Stegostoma tigrinum: one gene and its partner. The protein of the gene in region 1 interacts with the protein of each later gene in a pairwise test. Links are inferred from orthologs where the notes say so. Each region holds a gene or a part of one and is shown on either strand. Other genes may lie near its edges.

Region 1 (12,263 bases):
AGATGTCCAAATCAAATCTATAGAATGTCAACCATGGCAAAGATTTATTCAACCTTCACTGGCTGCATTTCAATGTTAACATTATCTTGATCGCAGCAGGATCAGACTTATCATGTTGCATAGAATTTTCATCTCATATTGCCTATACTTATTTGTGTAACCTTACATTTCAGGTTTGACCGGATATTAGCTCAGCTCTATTTTTAAAGCACGTGCTGAGATAGCATCACCTGTATGTGAACGCCACACAACCATTACCCTATTTGGAAATCATGGTAAAATTCTAACACTGAACAATCACACTTAAAAGAGATAGTGGAATCAATGGAATTGATATTTCTGATCTTCACTTCCAATGCAGTTACACAGTTTTTAAATTAGACAAGAGTCAGAAGTTATACTTTGTCACACTTTAGGAACCTTTTAATGAAGGTGACTGCATTAGCATTGGTAAAAAAATTTTTGCAAACAATGGAAAATAAATGCTTTTTTAAAAAAGAGATTGAAGTGAAGACATACACAAACCAAGTAATAATTAACAAAGAAAGGAGATACACTGGGTGGAGTGAATATTTACTTGCTGACTCACTGGAAACAGAGTGGTTGCTAGTCCAGTTAAGCATGCAAATTCTTGAAGTCTGGCTTTCCTTGCAGGTAAAGGATTTGGCACATTTCAGGTAGGGGAAGGAGTTCAAGGGACTGGCAGAAAAATCCCCTGCTCCTCCTGCTCCTCAGGTCCACAAAAGTGCCACACTGAAGGTACTGGTCTTTGCCCTGAAACTGCCTTCACAGTAATGTTGGTTCCGCAAGGCTGTTAACAGTCAACCACATTCAAATCTTCCCAGTGTGTTACACCTGAGAATTGAAGCCTCACTGAAGTATTTATTAAAATGCCAAACCTTCTCTGAGAAGCAGTCTGGCTCCCTGTGTCCTGTCAAACAGGCTCAGTAGTCAGTAAGTTGGAACCGGCTGCTTTTATTGTTCAGATAAAATCCACCTGCCTCCAATCTAGCAATTCAGAATTTTAACCTACCAGGATCTAAAATATCCTGGGATTCAATGGATGAATTCTGGCTTGAAACCAAAGCTTACATACCAAATCTGGTGCACAGTTTGAGAATATGGTCCCAAAACATTAATAATAATCATCCTGGCATGCCCTCCTATTTCTTTCATGGAACCAGGGTTGATCTCCTGCCTTAGTTAATAATGGTAGGGTGGGTGATATGCCAAGCCATGTGATCTAAGGCTGTTTTGGAGTTCAGTTCTGTGACTGCTGATGGCCCCCATGCCTAATGAATGCACAGGTTTGAATGTTAAGTCTATTTGAAATCTATTCTATTGAACATAGTCATAGAGCCTCACAAAGCTACGGAGGTTGTCTTTGAAGTGAAGACAGAACTTCCCCTTCATAAGGGTTGTATGGTGGTCTCTCTGACCAATACTGTCACAAACAGATGCATTCAGAACAGACACATTGTTGAGGATGAAATCAAGTGGGCTTTTCCCTCTTGTGAGCTCTCTCATCACCGATGCCAGTTTCGCACTTATGTCCTTAGGACTAAGCCGTTTAGCCCTCTCGGTCAGTACTGATTCTACGAAAGCTCTCTTTGTGATGAACAGAGTACATCCTATGCCACTGCCAACCTCAGTGCTTCTGACTCAAAATTATATCTCAGAACAATAGCCTGGGCCTCTGGATGACTAGTTCCTTGAAAAGGCCGCTACTGCCTTGTTAAGCTATTAGTTACCTTAAAGCAGTGCTTTTCTCACTTGGACACTCCAAGGAGGAAAATAGGCTAAAATGTCAGCATGTTCATGGAAGTAGATAACCAGCCAGTTTATTAGTGGCCGTCCAATTCATAGGTGAAGGGGAACACTCAGGAGAGAAATGCCCAGCACAGAGAAAGGAGCTCCTGGCAGCAATTGACAGCTTGCATCCAACACATACTTTCTATATGACCTATTTTCAACTACTCAATAGCTTTTATTTTGACCTGTCAGTAATAAAGAGGATTGATGAGGACAAAGCAGTGAACATGATCTATATGAACTTCAGCAAGGCATTTGGCAAGGTTCCTTGTTGTAGACTGGTTAGCGAGGCTCGAGGGAGAATTAGTTATTTGGATACAGAACTGGCTCGCACATAGAAAGCAGAGGTGGAGGGCTGCTTTTCGGACTGGAGGCTTGTGATCAGCAGTGTGCCACAAGAATCAGTGCTAGGTCTGCTCCTTTTTGTCATTAATATAAATAATTTGGATGTGAGCAAAGGAGGTACGGTTCGTAAGTTCGCAGATGACAACAAAATTGGAGGCATAGTAGACAGCAAAGGTTACCTTGCAGTACTATGGGATCTTGATCAAATGGGCCAATGGGTTGAGGAGCGACAGATGGAGTTTAGAATTTTTTTTTAAGAATCCCTACAGTGTGGAAACAGGCTCTTTGGCCCAATAAGTCCACGCTGACCCTCAGATCATCCCACACAGACCCATTCTCCTGTAACCAACCTAATCTACACATCCCCGGACACTATAGGCAATTTGGCATGGACAATTTACCTAACCTGCACATCTTTGGAATGCGGGAAGAAACTGGAGCTCCCAGAGGAAAGTCACACAGACACAGAGATAATGTGCAAACTCCACACAGACATTGAACCTGGGTCCCTGGCTCCGTGAGGCAGCAGTGCTAACCACTGTGTCACTATGCCACCCCTAATTTAGATAATTTCAATTTAGGTAAATTTAAGGTACTGCATTTTGTAAAGGGAAACCAGGGCAGGACATATACACTTAATGGTAAGGTCCTAGAGTATGTTGCTGAATAAAGAGAACTTGGAGTGCAAATTCATTGTTCCTTGAAAGTGGAGTCGCAGGTAGATAAGATAGTGAAGAAGGTATTGGTATGCTTGCCGTTATTGGTCAGTGCATTGAGGACAGGAGTTGGGATGTCATGTTGCGGCTGTGCAAGACATTGTTTAGGCCACTTTTGGAATTTATGTTCAATCTGGTCGCTCTGCTACAGGAAAGATGTTGTAAAACTTGAAAGGGTTCAGAAAAGATTTACAAGGATGTTGCCAGGATTGGAGGGTTTGTGCTATAGGGAGAGGCTGAATAGATTGAGGCTATTTTCCCTGTGGTTTTGGAGGCTGAGGGTTGACCTCATAGAGGCTTATAAAATCATAAGGGGCAATTACAGGGTTAATAGACAAGGTCTTTTCCCTGGGGTGGGGAAGTCCAAAATTAGTGGGCATAGGTTTAAGACGAGAGGGGTAAGATTTAAAAGGGACGTAAGGGACGACTTTTTCAAGCAGAGGGTGGTACGTAAATGGAATGAACTGCCAGAGGAGGTGGTGGAGTCCGATACAATTGTAACATTTAACAGGCATCTGGGTGGAGATATAAATGGGAAGGGTTTAGAGGGATAATAAAATGTGAGGCTGGATGAACACAGCAAACCCAGCAGCATCTCAGGAGCACAAAAGCTGACGTTTCGGGCCTAGACCATTCATCAGAGGGTTTAGAGGGATATGGGCCAGGTGCTGTCAAATGGGACTAGATTTATTTAGGATATTTAGTCAGCATTGACAAGTTGGACTGAAGAGTCTGTTTCTGTGCTGTATAACTCTATGACTCTATGACTGTCGTATTCAGGTTTTGATGTGGGTTCTTGAAGCCTTTAGTCAGATTCTGTTCTGAAGCTATTCTTATCTCTTCTCTGCCAATGAATGAACTATTCTGTTTAGCAGGACATGGAGTGGATGGACTGGTAGGAGGCCACTACTTTTACTGGAAAGAAATGAACTGTAGGATAGAGACAGCAGGGCATTAGGCACACAAAGATAATGGGAAGTAGGTGAAAGATATATGAAGACCAGGCATCTCTACCTAATGGCGCTGTGAGATTATATTCACTCCATAAAATTTACCAGTTCAAGAAAATGGCTCACCTTCTGAAAGCCAATAAATGTTGACCTTGGCAATGATGCCCACATCACTTGAATAAATAAAAGTGAAAAGCTCACTGGGTAAACCAAACAAAACAAAGGATAAAGCAAAGCGGACAATGGAACAAACTGAGAAAATGTTAATATGGACATGCACATTAAAGATGAGAAAACTGGGAGTGATGAGAACTGGTTCACTGCCCAACTCCTCTACCCAAATAATAATTAAATAATAGTAGTAAATGAGACAAAGGTGAATACACAGGTATATAAACAATTGTAATGAAGGAAGGGAGCAAGAGTAGCAAAAATGTCACAGATACTAATACATGCAACGTCATAGAAGATATATTTTGTTGAGCCGTGCTGTCAAATACATATATAATGTCGGGATTTAGAAAGAGAAGCAAATCCAGAGAAAAATACCTTCCAACTGACAAAGTTGGACATATGAGAAAATGCTCACTATCCAATGAGTCCAGAAAACTTAAACCCTTAATATGACTGCTGCAATGATATTAAATGTGGCTGATTAACTCCATAAGTAATATGGAACCTGTTCTGGCTTTAAGTGAGGCAATATTCACATTCTTTCCCCAGCAGATTGTATTGTTCCTCTTTATTTCCAACATATGTGCACGTTGGATGTAATCTCATAAAACGTTGCAGAGTCCCACAATGAATCAAACTCAGCTCACTGGGAACACAACTCACAAGAATTGATAGGAATTCAGGGTAACAATAATTAAACAGATTTTACAAAGTTTGAAAAAAAAGTTGTGTGAACCCAAGTCAACATATTTTTCATGAGAACAGATATTGAGAATTCCATCCCTTGGAACAGTCCCTCCCTTTAGATTTTCCGTTTGTGCTCCAAATAATTTTCAAGGATATTTTATTATACAAAAGCATTCACTTGCAGACTTCATTTAAGTTTTGATAAAGGTATCATTATTTTACAAATGCTACAAACGGCTTTGCTGATTACGGAGCTAATATTTCCTTTCTCTTTAATTTGCTTACAAAATGACTGCCTATCCTCCTCAAGGAAGTCACCAGAAGTAAGAATGTCTACTCACTTATTACAGTTAGGCATTGAGTTCCACCTTCTTCAATAAGTAGGATGTCTTCAATAAATCCTGCACACTTACATTATCCACTCCACTGTAAAATGTCATTTTAAAACAAGGAAACCTCGGTAGTAAATAAAGAAGGCAGACAAACCAGTTTAGACAAACAGAACAACTTTGATGAGTCATTGACCAAGGGTAGTTAATCAATTACAGAATAAATAATGCAAGTATTTAATTTCATTCCATTTTTAAATGCAACACAGAAGGATCCATGGCATTTAAAATTTAGCATACTGAGGCAGTTTTGATGTTTTTGGACTTAATTTGCTCAGAAACTAGTATTCACTGCATTTATCCGGTGTTGTGAATGGTGCTGACTGAAACTGCAGGATCCATAGTGGTCAGAGACATTGGGAACTGCAGATGCTGGAGAATCCAAGATAATAAAGTGTGAAGCTGGATGAACACAGCAGGCCAAGCAGCATCTCAGGAGCACAAAAGCTGACATTTCGGGCCTAGATCCTTCATCAGAGTGGGGGATGGGGAGAGGGTTCTGAGATAAATAGGGAGAGAGGGGGAAGCGGACTGAAGATGGATAGAGGAGAAGATAGGTGGAGAGGAGAGTATAGGTGGGGAGGTAGTGAGGGGATTGGTCAGTCCAGGGAGGACGGACAGGTCAGGGAGGCGGGATGAGGTTAGTAGGTAGGAAATGGAGTTGCGACTTGAGGAGGGAGGAGGGGATAGGTGAGAGGAAGAACAGGCTAGGGAGGTGGGGATGAGCTGGGCTGGTTTTGGGATGCAGTGGGGGGAGGGGACAAGTTGGGCTGCATGGGCCTAAGCTATGCCTGTCTCTTTGTAGGTTACGTGGAACAGTCCCTCTTCTGCACCTACACTGGCCCAAACCCTACCTCTTCCTCCGTTACATTGATGACTGTATCGGTGCCGCCTCTTGCTCCCAAGAGGAGCTCGAACAGTTCATCCACTTCACCAACACCTTCCACCCCAACCTCAAGTTCACCTGGGCCATCTCCAACACATCCCTCACCTTTCTGGACCTCTCTGTCTCCAACTCAGGTAACCAGCTAGAAACTGATGTCCATTTCAAGCCCACAGACTCCCACAGCTACCTAGAATACACTTCCTCCCAACCAACCTTCTGCAAAAATTCCATCCCCTATTCCCAATTCCTTCACCTCTGCCGCATCTGCTCCCAGGATGAGGCATTCCACTCCCGCACATCCCAGATGTCCACGTTCTTCAAGGACCACAACGTCCCCCCCGCAGTGGTCGAGAACGCCCTCAACCATGTCTCCTGCATTTCCCACAACACATCCCTCACACCCCGCCCCTGCCACAACCGCCCCAAGAGGATCCCCCTCATTCTCACACACCATCCCACCAACCTCCGGATACAACGAATCATCCTCCGACAGTTCCGCCATCTACAATCCGACCCCACCACCCGAGACATTTTTCCATCCCCACCCTTGTCTGCCTTCTGGAGAGACCACTCTCTCCGCGACTCCCTTGTCCGGTCCACACTCCCCTCCAACCCCACCACACCCAGCACCTTCCCCTGCAACCGCAGGAAGTGCTACACTTGCCCCCACACCTCCTCCCTCATCCCCATCCCAGGCCCCCAGATGACTTTCCATATCAAGCAGATGTTCACCTGCACATCTGCCAATGTGGTATACTGCATCCGCTGTACCCGTTGTGGCTTCCTCTACATTGGGGAAACCAAGCAGAGGCTTTGGGACCGCTTTGCAGAACACCTCAGCTCGGTTCACAATAAACAACTGCACCTCCCAGTCGCGAACCATTTCAACTCTCCCTCCCAATCCTCAGACGACATGTCCATCCTGGGCCTCCTGCAGTGCCATAATGATGCCAGCCGAAGGTTGTAGGAACAGCATCTCATATTCCGCTTGGGAACCCTGCAGCCCAATGGTATCAATGTGGACTTCACCGGTTTCAAAATCTCCCCTTCCCCCGCTGCATCGCAAAACCAGCTCAGCCCGTCCCCGCCTCCCTAACCTGTTCTTCCTCTCACCTATCCCTTCCACGCAACTCAAGCTACAACTCCATTTCCTGCCTACTAACCTCATCCGCCTCCTTGACCTGTTCCTCCTCCCTGGACTGACCTATCCCCTCCCTACCTCCCCACCTATACTCTCCTCTCCACCTATCCTCTCCTCTATCCATCTTCTGTCCACCTCCCCCTCTCTCCCTATTTATTTCAGAATCCTCTCTCCATCCCCTTCTCTGATGAAGGATCTAGGCCCGAAACGTCAGCTTTTGTGCTCCTAAGATGCTGCTTGGCCTGCTGTGTTCATCCAGCTTCACACTTTGTTATCTAAGAACCATAGTCCATTTGGATTTGTGGTGGACTTCGCTGAAGCTCTTTTAACTGAGCCATGATACTAGCATTCTGCTTTATTTCTAAACCAATTAGAAACCATCAGGATAAAAAGCTGAACTTTTTGAAAGAAGAATTCCTAATCAAAAGGTTCCTGGCATACGTCAAAAAGGCTTAACTGCAGTTGAGTTTTTCAAATTGCAAAATTCCTTCTCTCTCCCTCTCTCTCACACACACACACACACACACACACACACACACACACACACACCTGTAGGTCTTGCTGGAAATGTGATAAAAGTGAGGTAATACTTACCAAGGAGAAGAGTAGAGTAAGAGTGGAAAGAAGAGTACAGCTTCTTAAACCAAGCAGAATTGTATTGATGAGGCCTAGGAAGTCAGCAGCAGGAGTGTGTCCCTCCAGCCAGAAGTCAGTGCACCAAGAGGCTTCAGCACCTCAGCAGAGCAGGGAAGATAAATGGCCCAACATTTTCAGGTACTAATCTCCAGCATATGACTTTCCCAGCATTGTCATGCACAGCTCTCCTTAGAACACACATCACATCTGTGATCATTGCTCTCTCTGCAGGCATCTCTACAGCTCCATTTCGAAAGCCTGCTGGATGTATGGTTGGTGTTACTGTTGCCCTTTTCCTTGATGGTGAGGCCAGCTAATCTACATAAACTGTTCCCACACTGTGATGAGGGCTGACAACAGGGAGGCCCAGCTGAAGGTGAGTGAAGTATACACTGGGTATCCTGATTTCTGAAAAGTTGGAAATAATTTGTTAAGCAGTGAAGATGTTGTTTGCAAAGTACTGTGAGCATCATACTCTCACTGAGGCACGGCTGAAGCTCTTTAGTTTAGCTGACCTAAACCTTCTTGTCCTGTCACGCTTCATCAAAGAAGCTCATCCTAATGGACCCTTCTCTGGTTACCCCGACAAGTTGTTGTTAGCTCAACAAATTGAGGACTGAAAATCTATTCCTGATAAATGACTAAATGTACATACGCTTGATGTTTTGCATAGTTCAATGTAGAATTTTAGTCTTACAAAGGAAGAAAATACATAATGAGCAACTGTTTTGAGTTTGTTTATACAAATGTTTACTATTGATGTTGACATTGAGTAAGCCTGGAGTGCAAACTCAAGGATAAGGAAACAAGGCGGAAAAGAACAGAAAGCTAAAAGCAAGGTATTAATGTTTTAAATCACTATCAATAAAATCTGTTACCTATATAGAAAGCTAGTGTCATCTTTGCAGAGATCCAAGGCATAAAATATATGACACCACCAATAAACTAATGCTATTATGAAACCTGGTTGCCAGGCACTTGGTTCAAGCTGTAAAATACTTTGGAAAAAGATGTTGTCAATGTTGTCTGCTCTGTCAACGTTCATACTGCCATCGTGTTTTCAACAACCTGGTTTAGCCTTTAAAGAACTACAGGTATAAATCTTTATGAAAGGGAAATTTTTCTCTTGATCTGTTTCCAGAAAAAAAACACAATTAAACAGCCAACTTATTCAATTGCTTCAGTATTGTGTGGTTCATACAAATTTTATTGACTTTTGGTTGCGTCCTTTTAATGATTTGTATCCTTAACTAATATTGCCAGTGTCTTAGGGAGGCAGAATATGGAAACTTACAAGCTCGTTAGCCTGATTTCAGCCATTGGTAAGATTTTAAGAGCTTGTTATTAAGGATGAGATTGCAGAATACTTGAAAATGCATGATAAAATGGGCTGAATCAGCACAGTTTTGTCAAGGGGAGATCATGCCTGATAGATCTGTAAGAATTTTTTGAGGAGTTATTTGGATTTCCAGAGGTCTTAGATAAGAAAGCTGTTCAATAAAGGCCCATGGTGTTAGGTGCCTTTAATTTGAGCATTTTAAAAATATACTCTTTATCCTTATTCTAAACTTTGAGTAGTTCAAGTACTTTTTAAAACTGTACATTCCGTATTCTGGACCTTTTATTTTACTCTTTCAATTCTGTAACAAACGCATTAAATCCCTAGGTACCCTGTACCTAAGATGGAACCAAAGCAGCAACTTTTCACTTTTCACTGTACTCATTCGAGTATATGTGACAATAAAGGCTATTCTATTCTGTTCTAACATCCTGGCATGGAAAACGGATTGGCCAATTGACAGATGCAAACAGTAAGGGTATAGGGTCTTCTTAAGGATGGCAGCCAATGACTGGTGGAGTTCCACAGGAGTCAGTGTTGAGACCACAACTATTCATGCTATACATTAACAATCTAGACAAAGAAACTGAGGACATTGTTGCTAAGTTTGCAGATGACAACAGGATACATGAAAGGACACATAGCATTGAAGAAGCAGGGAGGCTGCAGAAGAACTTGGACTGGCTCGGAGTGTGGGCAATGAAGTGGCAGGTGAATACGTTGTGGGAAGGTATGAGCTTGTATACTTAGGTAGGATAAATAAAGAAAAATATGTTCCACATGGGGAAAGACTTCAGAAATCTGAAGTCAAAGGGACTTAGGATTTCTAGTTCAGGATTTTCTTAAGGTTAAAATGCAGGGCAAGTTGGCAGTCAGAAAGGCAAATGCAATAGTAGCATTCATTTCAAGAGGGCTAGAATACTAGAGGTACTGTTGTGGTCATATAAGCCTCTGGTCAGACCACATTTGGAATAATTTGAGCAGTTTTGGGCTCTGTATCTAAGGAAGGATGTGCTGGCATTGGATTAGATCCAGAGGGCATGCATAAGAATGATCCCAGGGATGAAGGGCTAATCATATTGGACGCAGTTGAGGTCTCTGGGCCTGTACTCAATGATGTTTAAAGGGATGTGATGGATTTCATTGAAATTTACAAAATACTGAGAGGTCTGAATAAAATGAACATGGAGAAGATGTTTCCAATGATGGAAGAGACTAGGAGCTAAGGACACAGCTTCAAAATAACATTTTGTCACTGAGATGGGGAGGAATTTCTCCAGCCAGAAGGTGGTGAGTCTGTGGAAAGCAGGAGGCTAAAACAGCCAAGTCCTTGGCTGTATTTAAGACAGAGATAGATAACATTTTAAAAAAAAATCTGATTTGGGAAATGGGATGATCACAGCAGGGTCTATGCTTCTTCAAACTTGGGTTTAAAAAAATTAATTCAGTCTCCAGGGATGCTTAATGATTTGGTCAACAGGGACAATCACTGTATTGTAACTGAGCTGAAGCGGATATTTTCATGCTGACTCAAAGAAGAAACTATGTAAACATAGGGCAGAACAACAGACATATTATTAAAAAACAAAAAGAACTGCGGATGCTGTAAATCAGGAACAAAAACAAAGTTAATAAAGTGTGAAGATAATAAAATGTGAGGCTGGATGAACACAGCAGGCCCAGCAGCATCTCAGGAGCACAAAAGCTGACGTTTCGGGCCTAGACCCTTCATCAGAGAGGGGGATGGGGAGAGGGAACTGGAATAAATAGGGAGAGGGGGGAGGCGGACCGAAGATGGAGAGAAAAGAAGATAGGCGGAGAGGAGAGTATAGGTGGGGAGGTAGGGAGGGGATAGGTCAGTCCAGCGAAGACGGACAGGTCAAGGAGGTGGGATGAGGTTAGTAGGTAGGAAATGGAGGTGCGGCTTGGGGTGGGAGGAAGGGATGGGTGAGAGGAAGAACAGGTTAGGGAGGCAGAGACAGGCTGGGCTGGTTTTGGGATGCATTGGGGGGAGGGGAAGAGCTGGGCTGGCTGTGTGATGCAGTGGGGGGAGGGGATGAACTGGGCTGGTTTTGGGATGCGGTGGGGGAAGGGGAGATTTTGAAGCTGGTGACGTCCACATTGATACCATTGGGCTGCAGGGTTCCCAAGCGGAAAATGAGTTGGTGTTCCTGCAACCCTGGGGTGGCATCATTGTGGCACTGCAGGAGGCCCATGATGGACATGTCATCTAAAGAATCGGAGGGGGAGTTGAAATGGTTCGTGACTGGGAGGTGCAGTTGTTTATTGCGAACCGAGCGGAGGTGTTCTGCAAAGCGGTCCGCAAGCCTCCGCTTGGTTTCCCCAATGAAGAGGAAGCCACACCGGGTACAATGGATACTGTATACCACATTGGCAGATGACTTTCCATATTAAGCAGAGGTTCACCTGCACATCTGCCAATGTGGTATACAGTATCCATTGTACCCGGTGTGGCTTCCTCTACATTGGGTAAACCAAGCGGAGGCTTGGGGACCGCTTTGCAGAACACCTCCGCTATACTCTCCTCTCCACCTATCTTCTTTTCTCTCCATCTTCGGTCCGCCTCCCCCTCTCTCCCTATTTATTCCAGAACCCTCACCCCATCCCCCTCTCTGATGAAGGGTCTAGGCCCGAAATATCAGCTTTTTTGCTCCTGAGATGCTGCTTCGCCAGCTGTGTTCATCCAGCTTCACACTTCATTATCTTGGATTCTCCAGCATCTGCAGTTCCCATTATCTCTGATACAAAAACAAAGTTGCTGGAAAGCAGGTGTGGCAGCATCTGTGAAGGAGAAAACAGAGTTAACGTTTTGGGTCTGGTAAGCCTTCCTCAGAATATATTATTAATATGTATTAGAGTTCTACTGCAGGACCTTTCGATTCTTTCATGATTCCACAGTACCAATAACATTTGTTTAATTCAATTTTAGAGAATTAAAATCATGACCCTGAGTGGAAATTTGCTGTCCGCAGACAGTTGTGTACACCAATTGGAACTGGCTTATTCTGCTAATTTTCTTTTCTGATGGATGCTCTATAATATATCACTAACAAGGGTAAAACACCTACATTCTTCCTTGACTAGTCTTGGAAATGACTTATCATAGAATTACATTGAGTGAATTTTCCAATTAGATGAACTTAAAGAACAAATTTCAAGTTCAAACA
Region 2 (12,806 bases), on another chromosome or scaffold:
ACAAGGCAGTCTCAAATTGGCCTTAGCGTTCATTGTATAGCAAGGTGAAAAACTGATCAACAGTGCAATTTCTGGCCATTAATATAATGATCTGCAGAGTATCACAGTATGTGTAGGTCAGTTTACTCAGAGACAGAGACATCGATGTATGCCCATTTCCAAGGGTCACAATTACTATTCACAAATTCAAATCTCCGAATCTCCAGCATTTAGAAAAGTTAAAAACACTCAAAAAAATATTCTGACATAAACCCTTGCCATCCAATTATTTCAAGGTGCACCTTTGTAAAATGCTCTACAATTAGAGATTTATTTACCTTTCACAAGGGTATGACAAGTACAAAATCTATGCAAATAAAGCAAATACAAATTTGAGCTCTACACAGCACAGAAAACGCTGATTTAATGAATTACCTTACGTCAGATTTCTCAAAACAATTCACAAAAGCATTGTTACTTCTGCAAAGACAGAAGCAGTTATGACAGCATCATTGCACAAACAGCAGTAAGAAGAAAGAACAATTAACCTGTTTGTTTTGCTTGTATGTAGATTATACAATGGTGCTCCAATATTTAATCAATTTCCTGAATATTTCCAAAATGCATATCAAGCCAACTGTTGGCAAACAGTACGAAATTGCTATTTAATAAAATTTAGATAATGCAGGAAAAAGAGGGGATGAGACTAATAAAATTCTTCCTGACAGATACGAAACGTCCACCATATGCAGGTGCTCAACAAAGTGTCCAATATGCATTTAAAAGCAAGCAAGTCAGCTAATAGGACAATGGCAATTTTACTTTTATCATAATAATGCTAAGGGGAGCAAATATAATTAGAGTACAGAATAAATATACTTCTGAACAAAAGTGTCTTTTTTAAAAAACAAAAAGATGAATGTTAGTGACTAGGTATGCAGAAGTTTGCAAGAATGTGATTACTTAATTGAAAGCAGTGAGGTTGCTTCCAAGAATGCATAGCCTTTCAATGTTACAAGTAAAATAACTGAAATACATGAAGTTTGTTTTTTCTTTATAGTGACAGTGAAGTGTAGGTGTACTGTCATGTGCATCTGAACAGGTGCTATTCCATACGATAAGCTCATATGGAAATTCTTAACTTTCCATTCTGATTTGAAGAGTAGCAGCAAATAATTTTCTGAAACCAATCCCTAAACTAGCCTAGAGATAAATGGGAATTGCAGATGCTGGAGAATCCAAGATAACAAAGTGTGTAGCTGGACGAACACAGCAGGCCAAGCAGCATCTCAGGAGCACAAAAGCTGACGTTTCGGGCCTAGACCCTTCATGGATGAAGGGTCTAGGCCCGAAACGTCAGCTTTTGTGCTCCTGAGATGCTGCTTAGCCTGCTGTGTTCATCCAGCTACACACTTTTATCTTTAACATCTAAACATTTGTCATTAAAAGTTGGAGAAAAAGTAATACTTTCCATAAGAATATGTTACAACAGCTAACAGAACTAACATGCTTTAGCGTTTACACACAACACTAAGAAGAATGGCACACAACTGAACTGAGGCACACTTTAAATAAACAGAACATTTCATCATTTAGAGCATTCAGCACAAACACCCAGTTGGATTTAGTCATCAGATATTTTAGCTTCTCTGCATTTCCTAGTGATTAACTCTAGTCTTGGTTGTTACTCTAAAGGCAACCAAGTATAAACTGCTCTGAGAATCACCTAAGCCCTTCAATTATGGTTTTGTAATCCCTGCCCACTCTATACAAACACATCAACTCTTCTAAATAGTATCTGATGTCATTTCTCCAAATAGTCTATTCAGTAGGCCTGTATTCCACCTCCCTAACTGTCACATTTTCTACCATATAGTCATCATTAGTGGTTTTAGGATTGTGGTTACTGTCTATTTTTAAAGTGATAATCAGATCAAATCACAACTTAAATTTGAGAACAGTGTGGTTTTAGGTTCAATTTTGGAAACAACCATTTGTGAATAACCAATCATCTAGGCAGTGGGAATATGGTGCGCTCATACCCAACATCGTTTCTATTAACCCATAATATGAAGTGAAACTTACTCATCCAAAGAAAAATATGTTGGTAGCAAACAAAAAAGTTACTTGTCTGGTCCCAAGACTCTTCCTGTTTGATATCAGAAATAAGTCAAAGATTAACATTCATCATATTGCTTGGAGTTCTGTCACTTCCATGATGAAATCATAGCCCAAAAACATCTGCTCTTTTTCATCTGGCATCGCTTTTTCCTTTGTTTCAAATCCCATTAAAAGAGGTGTTTTCAAGACAAATTAAACAGGACGGAAGTCTTTAGCAACATTTACCAACACCCAATGGGAAGCTTTGATCTTACACTGAAAATCCACATAAATGGCAAAAACTAAAGACAAACAGGTCCAGGATGAAGATAAAAGAAATTTTTATTTCTTTGTCTTTTCTTTACAAATATAACAGCTGTTTTCCACTAGCTTTTCACAATTACTTCAAAAAAGGTGTTCCTCCTGTCAAAATACATGATTAGAGCAGAAATAGAAATAAATACCCTTTTTTAAAGACTAATTGAAACAAGATAAATGGGGCAAAGGAAGGAAAATGAAAACATTGTGCATGTTAAATTAAAGCATTTATGTCTGAAATTCAAGGAGATTTATCACCACCACTGCTCTGATTTTAATATTGAACACCAGAGCTAAAAGTGAACAAGAGGACAGGAATTTCTCTTGTCCTTCAGACAGATGAAAGGCTTGCTATCAAACTCATTCTCGCCAGTTTTAATAATAATTACCAGACTTTGTTATTTTTCAACGATGCCTCAAAATAAAATAAAATGTGATATAAGATACTATTCAGAGGTAACAAGGGCAATTTAAACTGAAGATTCCTGACCAGTACTCTTGAGAGATATTGCATTCAGCTTTCAAGGGCTAAAAAGACAGGCCCTGGCTTGCAAGCCACACATCTTAATGGGATTATTTTACAGTTATTCAGAATCATTGAACCTGAAAAGAAATTGCATCAGGCTGAAATCCAATAATTTTACCTCAATGTTTATTTTTTAAATTCCCTTGCTTTTTCATGCACCATATTGTAACTGGGGCAAAAAGTTTATGATAACAAGGCAACACATTTGCTGGAATTTGCCAGTGTCATATTTGGTCCTTGGTCAATTACAGCCCAAGTAACTAAAATTTCTTCTCCATAGGAGGGGGGAGAAAAAGGAGCTGCTAGGTGGAAACTATTTTTCCATAATGGCCTGACAGAAATGAGTTCATTCTCATAGCATCATGAAACCATACACTTCACGATTAAAGTTATAGGACAGAGTTTCAAGAATTGATGGCACTCTGATAGTCAGTTTGGCACTGAACACACAACGTTTATCTGCAAAATGAATTTACGTAATGAGACATACACTGATACTTGGTAAATTCTTAGCCTAATGTAAAGTTGATTTTTTTTATATCAAAATCTGCAGATAAACTCAGTTTTTGTCAAGGTACATGATTATGATTCAGCAGCTGAAGTGTGCACTTCTTGGTAAGTCTATTTGCTGGGCAGTAACTGGCACACACAAAGGCACATGAGCAAAGCAGAGAACAAGACCTCATGACAGGCATGTGGCTACCCACAGTTGGTGACACCAAAGGTGGGGAGCTCAAAAACGGCAGAAGGAAAGCAGAGCCCAGTAATGAAGTTATTCTGGCTGAAAAAATTGTTTTGTGAGGAATGGATGAGATTGGTGGAATGGATATGGTTGGCAACAAATGCTTGGAAATAGCACAGGAGGGATTAGAGAGTAGCATAGGGAATGGCATGGAAGGAAACAATGAAATGGTGGATTTGTTAAGTGTGACAAATAGCAGGGACAATTATTTAATGGTTTATTATCCAAAAGTTATTTTTGATCTTAAATCAAGAAAATTCACCAGATTTGATGTTTTTGCAAAGATGTATTATTTTAATCATTTGACATGAACGTTGTTTCAACAGATGAAGCTAACATTCATATCTTGAACGTCTATACAATCTAACCTGAAAGGGAATGCCACCACACAAATAAATTGAAGAATGGAGTAGTTAGAATACCGCTTCAAAAACAGGAATCCTAAACAGCGATAATCATGGAACAAGGTTCGTAGATAACATGTTGTTATTTTTCCAATGACAGACAAAAAAAATTATAATAGCAAAGAGACTGTACATTCAAATACTATTGAGCTCACCGGATCTAAACCTGTCTTTTCAACCTGGGAGAAAACAGTTTCCAACAAGACTTTCACATTCTATAGTTTTAACCAAATAAAAAACAGTCAGAGCCCTAACAAAAATATGTACTTCTGTACCATGTTTACGCATGGACAGTTTTAAGTAGTTTAATTCCAAACATTGGCATTTTGACTCTGTTGATATATTTGGTGAAAGAATAACTATACTTCCTGTAAAGAGGTACAATTTCAGTACTAATATGATTGAAACATTTTAGTAGGTCTCTTGTTAGTTTAAACATTCAAACATTTAAGATTTATAGATTACAGTAACCGAGGATATGACCTTAATCTCTTTCATGATAATTTAGCAAAAAAACAAAGAAATTTGGAATTAGGCACAAATGAGGTAGTCATTTCCCAAAGTTTCAAGGTACTTCTGTTACTCCACATTCTGACTGTTGTCTCTGTAGTACACCTTGCCTTTATCTGTCTGTGTTGCTGATCTTGCCAAAGGTTTGCAAAAAATAAAGCCAATGTTAAGGAGCATCAATTGATAAAAGGAAAAATAATTAAAATAAATGTAGTTTGCAAAATCTGGAGGTACTTTAATTAAAAACATTGCTAGGTAATGCAAAGCAGGCCATTCCGTTCAGAAAGCATCTTCCAAATAAACCCAAAAATACCCAACGATTTAGGATCTGCAATCTACGTTGGTTCCATGCTTAGAGTGCTCGCATTTAAAAGCAGGGTGTCACCACAACACTGCCTACAAGTGTTCCCGATCATAACGAGAAACGATATCATTACAGATGTTTCAATAATGTGTTTTCACAGATTAGTTTGGTATACATTAGGTCTGATCGAACTAAACACCATTCCTCCAAAAGAATACATCCAAAAGGAATGCTTCTTTGCAGATTTGCAACTTTACTACTGATAACCACACTATTATATATTGGCATAGACCGAAAAGTTAAAAACCTAATGGTATCAGTGTCTAGGGTGTGCCGTACGTAGACCAATAATATTAAGGAAGAATTAGGTTGACAATTGTATGCCTTGGTTGACGCTGTTCCTCATTTGTCCTCAACCTCACAAAGCTTACAGTGCTTCCGCCACGGGACTTACCTCGAATTCTTTGATGTTGTTGGAGGTGACGAACAGGCCGATGCCGATGGGGATGAAAATGAGGCCTATTATAAAGAAAGCGGGTAAGACAGTGCCGGCGGTGAGAATAGGCTGCCAGGCGGGGAGGCGCTGCTGCTTAAATGCGGTGTTGTCCGGTTTCCTGCTCTTGTGCTGCTCACCACCATCATCATCTTTGGGGGAATAATTAGTTGCCATTTTCGGCTCAGACCCCCCCCAGTCAGAGCGGCCACAAGATCACGGTCTCTACGATTGACACACCAAACCCCAATGTACCACTTACCGCTCGGACCTAACCCCTGAGGAGAAAGAAGGAACTAATCCCGGAAACCAAAACCCGAGTACGCTGCTACGCGATGACGTCTATAATTAACGTCATCGCATGATCACGTTCAAGGACGTCATGACGCTCTTGAACATTCCGAGCTGCTGTTTCCATAACGACCAGTAAAGCGTTTCGACAGCAATTTGTTACAGACCAATCAACATTCAGCTGATGGAAGTCTAAGACATGATGAATTGTTTGTAAATACAGTCTTAGGGGCTTGACTAACACTAGGACTTTACTGATATTCCAGGCTGGAAGATACAATAGAGAAAATACCTGAAGATGGCAGGTAGAGGAGTGAAGAGGTCCGAGCGTGGAATCAAACAAAGTAAACAGCTCCCTTAATTATATTACAGATAAATTATGGAGAATGCAAAGCGCTGAAGCAGGATATTCCGTCTAAGTGGTGCTTTGCTCCAGACAAGCCTTCTCCAAACCTCCATCCGGTTTCTTGCTCGTATGTTACTCACCGTCACCGTCTTCGGGGGAAAAAATAGTTGTCATTTCGGCTCACACCCCTCAGTCAGAGCGGCCACAAGGTCAGACTCTCTACAGTTTACCGAAAGAACTGCGGATGCTGTAAATCGGGAACAAAAACAGAAGTTGCTGGAAATGCGGATCTGGCAGCATCTGTGAAGAGGTATCATAGTTAACGTTTCCGGTCTGGCGACCCTTCCTCGGAACTCTTTTCACAGATTGCTGACCTTTTCCAGCAACTTCTGTTTCTGCAATTCACACAGCGAAAGGAGACTGGACCAGACAAGCTGAATCCACCTAACCCCCAATGTCCTGCTTACCGTTAGTCAGGATTCCAAGGTGATACGTCCAAACAATTCCTTATGGCTTACACTTTTATGGGAATAGTGTTGATTGGCTGATATGCTTCGCATTTCTTCTCTTTAACTAGCTTCACAGTCAAAGCACCGAAAATTTCATCTACTCCCTGTTTGACCAATTTCTATATTTCAACTGCTGTCTGGGTTATTTTTCTGAACATCCACATTGGATTTAGTGAGTCTCAAGCTTATGGCACCTTGCACTCCCCTAAAGGAAAATCATGTTTAGTGAACTTGCTGGAGTCTTTTGAAGAGGTAACAGAAAAGATTGATGTGGTTAGCTCAGGCTGGATGGTTGGTACACAACACAAACTGATGCCAACAGTGCGTGTTCAATTCCCTCACTAGCTGAAGTCACCAAGATGAGGTCAGCTATATCACATTCCTCAGTGACAAAAGCAAAGTTGCTTTAAAAGCTCAGCAGGCCTGGCAGCATTTGTGAAGGAGAAAACAGAGTTAACGTTTTGGGTCTGGGGACCCTTCGCAGGGTCATTAACTCTATTTTCTCCTTCGCAGACGCTGCCAGACCTGCTGAAATTTTCTAGCAACTTTGTTTTTGTTCCTGATTTACAGCATTTGCAGTTCTGTTGATTTTTATTTGGTCCATATTCCTCAGTGACTGCCTGCTGCTCAGACTCTCCCCAGAGCCTTGAATCCACCCAGACTCACAGTTATCTCTATGATGTTCAAAGTTCGACAGACAGCTACCCCCCGCGACCCAGTACTGAGTTCAATTATTTTAGGTCCTGAACTCTCCCATGTCCTAGCCCCCTACTCCACACACCAGGCCTTGTTATCAAATAGTCTGCCAGGACACACTACCTCCTGTTGAAAACCAAAAGAACTGCGGATGCTGTAAATCTGATACAAAAACAAAGTTGCTGGAAAAGCTCAGCAGGTCTGGCAGCATCTGTGAAGGAGAAAACAGAGTTAATGTTTTGGTTCTGGTGATCCTTCCTCAGAACAGATGGTGGCTGGAAAAATGTCAGTTTATATACAGAAAAAAAGGGACAGGGATGGGGTCGGGAATGAAGGCTACCTACTGTTAGTCACCAACGGTTCCCATCAACAGCTTTTCAACCTCCTAGCCAGATCATTATCAACTCCTTTATGTGTCCAACTGTTTTTCTCTCTTGTTGGGCTCTTTCCCCACATTTCATTTATTTCTCACAACCTCCCTCCACTCTATCCTCTGCCTATATGCAGACATTTCCTCGCTACCATCAGTTCTGAGGAAGGGTCACCGGACCCGAAACATTAACTCTGATTTCTCTTCATAGATGCTGCCAGACCTGCTGAACTTTTCCAGCAGCTTCTGTTTTTGTACTTCTTGTTGTTGACCATAAAAGTCCTGCCTTCTTGACCCGTTTCCCTAAGGCACTGTGAACCTATGGTTGACCTCCCCACCAGATGTCTTTCTCATGAGAGAGAAGCCCTCTGGTCCTATGGGACTATGATTTAATAGTATACATGGATTTTCAAAAGGCATTTGATACAGTGTCACTCAATAGACTTGTGAGGAAAATTATAGGTCATGGTTATAAAGGTGACAATAGTAACATGGATACAAAAATGGCTGACTGATAGGAAACAGAGAGTAATGATCAGTGGAAGGAAGAATTGTAAACTGCGAAGAGGACTTTATGAAACTCCAAAAACATATTGACAAGATGGTGGAGTAGATGGATAGATGACAGACGAGGTTCAATCCAGAGCTATTCTGGCTCGTAAAAGAAGGAATGCCAAGAAAGCATAGATTTAAAGTGATACGCAAATGAAGCAAGCAAGTTGTGAGAGAAAATGAAAACACTTGGATATAAATGGTGTAGGCATGTTGGACTAAATGGCCTTTATCTGTGCCATACCAATTTGTGATTCGACGCTTCCATTAATTGATCAAACCCTAGTCACCCCAATATTAGTTTTCTGTGTGAGTTTAAGGATAACCTGGAAGATTCTCAGTGTACAGTGCATTAATTTGACTCTACCTTGACTGATGTGATCAATTTGCTCAACAATTAAAGCAAACATTCTGCTATGAGGGTGGTGTAGAGGGGCGTCAGGTTGTGGTTCCACACACATAAGGAACTATTAGCACCTTGATTAAGTTCCCAATTTTCAGAGAATTGTCGAATTTTTACAGTTTTAAGGGGTCCTTCAACCCATTCTGTCTACCCCAACTGTCACATATCCAGAGATAATGGGAACTGCAGATGCTGGAGAATCCAAGATAACAAAGTGTGAAGCTGGTTGAACACAGCAGGCCAAGCAGCATCTCAGGAGCACAAAAGCTGATGTTTTGGGCCTACACTTTGTCATCATCACATATCCATCTATTTTATTTCTATTTTCCTGCACTTGGCCTGTATCCTTGTAACCAATGTCATTTCAAACGTTCATCTATATACTTCTCAAATGATGTGAACTTCTACCACCCTTTCAGCAATGAGTTCCAAATACCTACAACCCTCCAGATGCCAACTCTTCAGCCAATTCGATTCACTCCACGTGATATCAAGAAACAATTAGTGACACTGGATAGTGCAAATACTATGGGCCCTGACAATATTCTGACAATAGCACTGAAGACTAATGCTTTAGAATTTACCACTCCCCTAGCCAAGTTCTTCCAGTAGAGCTAAAATCCTGACATTTACCTGACAATGTGGATGTCCTGTTACAAAAAGCAGTAGAAATCCAACCTGATCAGTTTCTGCCCCATCAGTGTACTCTTGAGCATCAGCAAAGTGATGGAAGGTGTCATCAGCAGGGGTATCAAAGCAGCACCTGCTCAGCAATAACAAATTCACTGACATCCAGTTGATCTCCACTAGGGCAACTCAGCTCTTATCTCATTACAGCTTTGGCTTAAACATGGTCATAAGAACTGAACTTCAGTGGTGAGTTGAGAGTGATTGCCCTTGAAATCAAGGCCACGTTCAACCAGGTGTGGCATCAAGGACCCTAGCAAACTGGACTAAATGAGAATTGGGTCAAAACTCGCTGCTGATTGGAGTCGTATCTGGCACACAGGAAGATGAGTAGTTGTTGGCTGTGGCAGTCAGTCATCTCAGCTTTAGGACATCTCTGCAGGAATTCTTCAGGGTAGTGCCCAGGGCCAAACCATATTCAGCTGCTTCATCAATGATCATCCCACCATCATAAGGTCAGACGTGAGAGGATGTTTGCGGATGACTGCACAATGTTCAGCACTATTTACGACTCCTAAAACATCAAAGCAGTCCATTTTCAAATGCAATAAGATCAGTAACATTAATCAGACTTGGGCTGACAAGTGGCAGGTAATATTCATGCCATACAAATGTTGGCCAATGACCATCTCCAGTAAAAGACAATCTAACCACCACCCCTTGATATTTAATGGTGCCACCATCACTGAATTCTCCACTATCAGCATCCTGGGGTTACGATTCACCAGAAACTCAACTGGACTTGCTGCCATATAAATACAATGACTACAAGGGCAGGTCAGAAGCTAGAATACTGTTGCAAACAACTCACCCGCAGACTCCCCAAAGCCTGTTCACTGTGTATAAGGCACAAGAGATACTGCCGACTTGCTTGGATTGGGTGCAGCTTTAACACTCAAGAAGCTTGATACCATCGGACAAAGCAGCCCAATCAATATGCACCGCATCCACAAGCAATCACAAGCATCACTGATACTCAGTAGCAGCAATGTGTACTATCTACAAGATGCGCTGAAGAAATTCATCAAAGACTGTACCTTCCAAACTTGTGACTACTTCCATTGAGAAGGATAAGGGAAGCAGATAGGGAACACCACTTCCTGCAAGTTCCCCTCCAAGCCACTCACTATGCTGACTTAGAAACATACTGACTTTCATTGTCACTGGGTCAAATCCTGGAATTCCCTCCCCAAGGGCATTGTGGCTCCAGCACATGAACTGCAGTAGTTCAAGAACACAACTCACCACCACCTTCTCACGAGCACCTAGGGATTCTCAATAAATGCTCATCAGTTAGTGATCCTCATCCTTTCACTGTCACTAAATTCATTTTATTCTTCTACAAAGGATTTGCAGAGAAAGCTGAGTTGAAGATAATGAGCTGTTTCTGGAGCGAGATAATGGGAACTGCAGATGCTGGAGAATCCAAGATAACAAAGTGTGGAGCTCTTTTGTGCTCCTGAGATGCTGCTTGGCCTGCTGTGTTCATCCAGCTCCACACTTTGTTATCTTGGATTCTCCAGCATCTGCAGTTCCCACTATCTCTGATACAATTTTAACCTCACTGTGAAGCCTCTTCCAGGGATGCCTAACCAGAAGAAGTTACCCTCCTTCCTCCGGACCAACCTCAGGGAATCTCTCTCCCATTGCATCTCTCTTGCAATCTCTTACTCTCCTCTCCACCTATTTTCTTTTCTCTCCATCTTCGGTCCACCTCCCCCCTCTCCCTATTTATTCCAGAACCTCTTCCCCCCCCCCCCCCCCCCCCCGCTCTCTGATGAAAGGTCTAGGCCCAAAACGTCAGCTTTTGTGCTCCTGAGATGCTGCTTGGCCTGCTGTGTTCATCCAGTTCCACACTATTATCTGAGCTGTTTCTGGAGATTTGTTTGTACCTTCACATGAGAGAGGGAGATGTTTTTTCATGCTTTCTCTTTGCAGACCAGGTGATTCTCTGCTGTACTTGGTTTCATACAAGCCATGGTCACCTGGTCAGGATCCAGTCAGAACATTACCATCAATCATCTTTCCTTTAGTTCAGAACTTATCAGCTACATGTCTCCTTCTTCTGTTCCAGGAAAAAAATGCAACACGTATGTAACTCACAAAGTGTTCCAGTAGATATGATTTCTAAAACTGCAGTCACTTTTTTGTGCAATCTCTTGATTAAAACAGTATTTTCGTTTTTAGAGACAACACAGTGTGGAGCTGGAGGAACATAGCAGGTCAAGCAGCATCAGAGCAGCAGGAAAGTTCATGTTTCAGGTCAAGATCCTTCTCCATTTTCTGAAGAAGGGTCCTGACCTGAAACGTCAATTTTCCTGATGCTCTGATGCTGCCTGACCTGCTGTGTTTCTCCAGCTCCACATTGTGTTGTCTCTGACTCCAGCATCTGCAGTTCTTGCTATCTTTTCCTTTTTAGTTTTGGTCAACAGTCCAAAAATGAAAGGAATAAAAAAGATGTCCTCTTTATGCCCCTATGAATCCAAACACATATTCATTCACTAATTGGGTGAACAGGGCAGATGTGACAAACAGCTCAAGCAGAAATATAGTGGGTAGAAAGTATATGCAAAAAAATGACAAGTCTGTGCACCAAAGACCAAACTACGAAGGAGAAATGAGGTGGACTTTCTCAATTTGTTTTTGGTCTTTGATAATTATGTCACATTGTTACCAACTGTGGTGAATCTAAATTCAGTAGCCGGTTCAGTTGGACCTGTGTTTTTGTCTGAGTTAGCAGTTTTTTTATATGCTTCTTTTCCAGTTAAAGAAAAAGACAAAGCAATTTTGCTTGCTGGCAGACATTACAGGTCTGCTTTACCTCTTTTGTAAGTTCTGTGACAACCTGTACTTAAACTATCCACAAACTGTTGCTGGCAGTTACTTTTTATTTTCCCCTCAGATACTTGGCACCAACGTACCTAATGAAAGTATCAAATACAGCTTAAAAAGTTATGTTTTTGTGTAGCCATTAAGTGATCACAGAATTCCACTTTTGCTTCAAATCTTGGGTGATTTTTTAATAATTAACAATACCATTTTCCCGTTCGCAATGACAAACAAAATATGTGTTGTTCTTACATTTCAGATGATGTTGTTAAGGAGCAGTAGACTTGCATGATAAAAGGAGAGGCCAAAGAAAGATCCTTAGGTGATACTGTACAAGAATTGGAAGAGAAGGTATTGTAAGTGAGGTAATGGAACATGCAACTTTAGTCCCATGCACCTGGGTGACAACAGAGAGACATAGTGCATGTGGTCAACCATATTGAAGATTGCAAACCCATCAGACATTATATGGAGAATTCGAAGTGAGTTACTTTGGAATTGTGGCAGGGACAGAAACCTGATTGGAGGCCTTGGACACAGATTTAGTAAGTGAGAATATGTTCAGCAACTTCAAAGAAGAATTGGATTTGGGGGTTTTTGGGCTGGGTTTTTGTGATAGGTTTGACATTCAATGATTTGGACCATTTTCTAATGCTTCATTCCCAAGTTCTTAATGAACCCATATGCACATGTTATTTTCCTCCCAAGGAAGTAGATTCATGCTAGAGTGGAGGCCAATAGCTCCTG

Evidence for each region.
Region 2: the proteins of atp10b (region 1) and cell cycle control protein 50A-like interact in a protein complementation assay, tested with the Homo sapiens proteins (2 studies listed by IntAct, with this or other methods). The link is inferred for Stegostoma tigrinum from reciprocal best matches to the Homo sapiens genes ATP10B and TMEM30A.

The regions. Positions count from the first base shown.
Region 1 is NC_081366.1:25,580,622-25,592,884, reverse strand, and holds the start of atp10b (phospholipid-transporting ATPase VB), read right to left. Parts: upstream 5,159-12,263; 5' UTR 5,026-5,158; intron 1-5,025. UniProt on the Homo sapiens protein: Catalytic component of a P4-ATPase flippase complex, which catalyzes the hydrolysis of ATP coupled to the transport of glucosylceramide (GlcCer) from the outer to the inner leaflet of lysosome membranes.
Region 2 is NC_081362.1:27,359,162-27,371,967, forward strand, and holds the start of cell cycle control protein 50A-like, read right to left. Parts: upstream 5,718-12,806; 5' UTR 5,554-5,717; coding exon 5,338-5,553; intron 1-5,337. UniProt on the Homo sapiens protein: Accessory component of a P4-ATPase flippase complex which catalyzes the hydrolysis of ATP coupled to the transport of aminophospholipids from the outer to the inner leaflet of various membranes and ensures the maintenance of asymmetric distribution of phospholipids.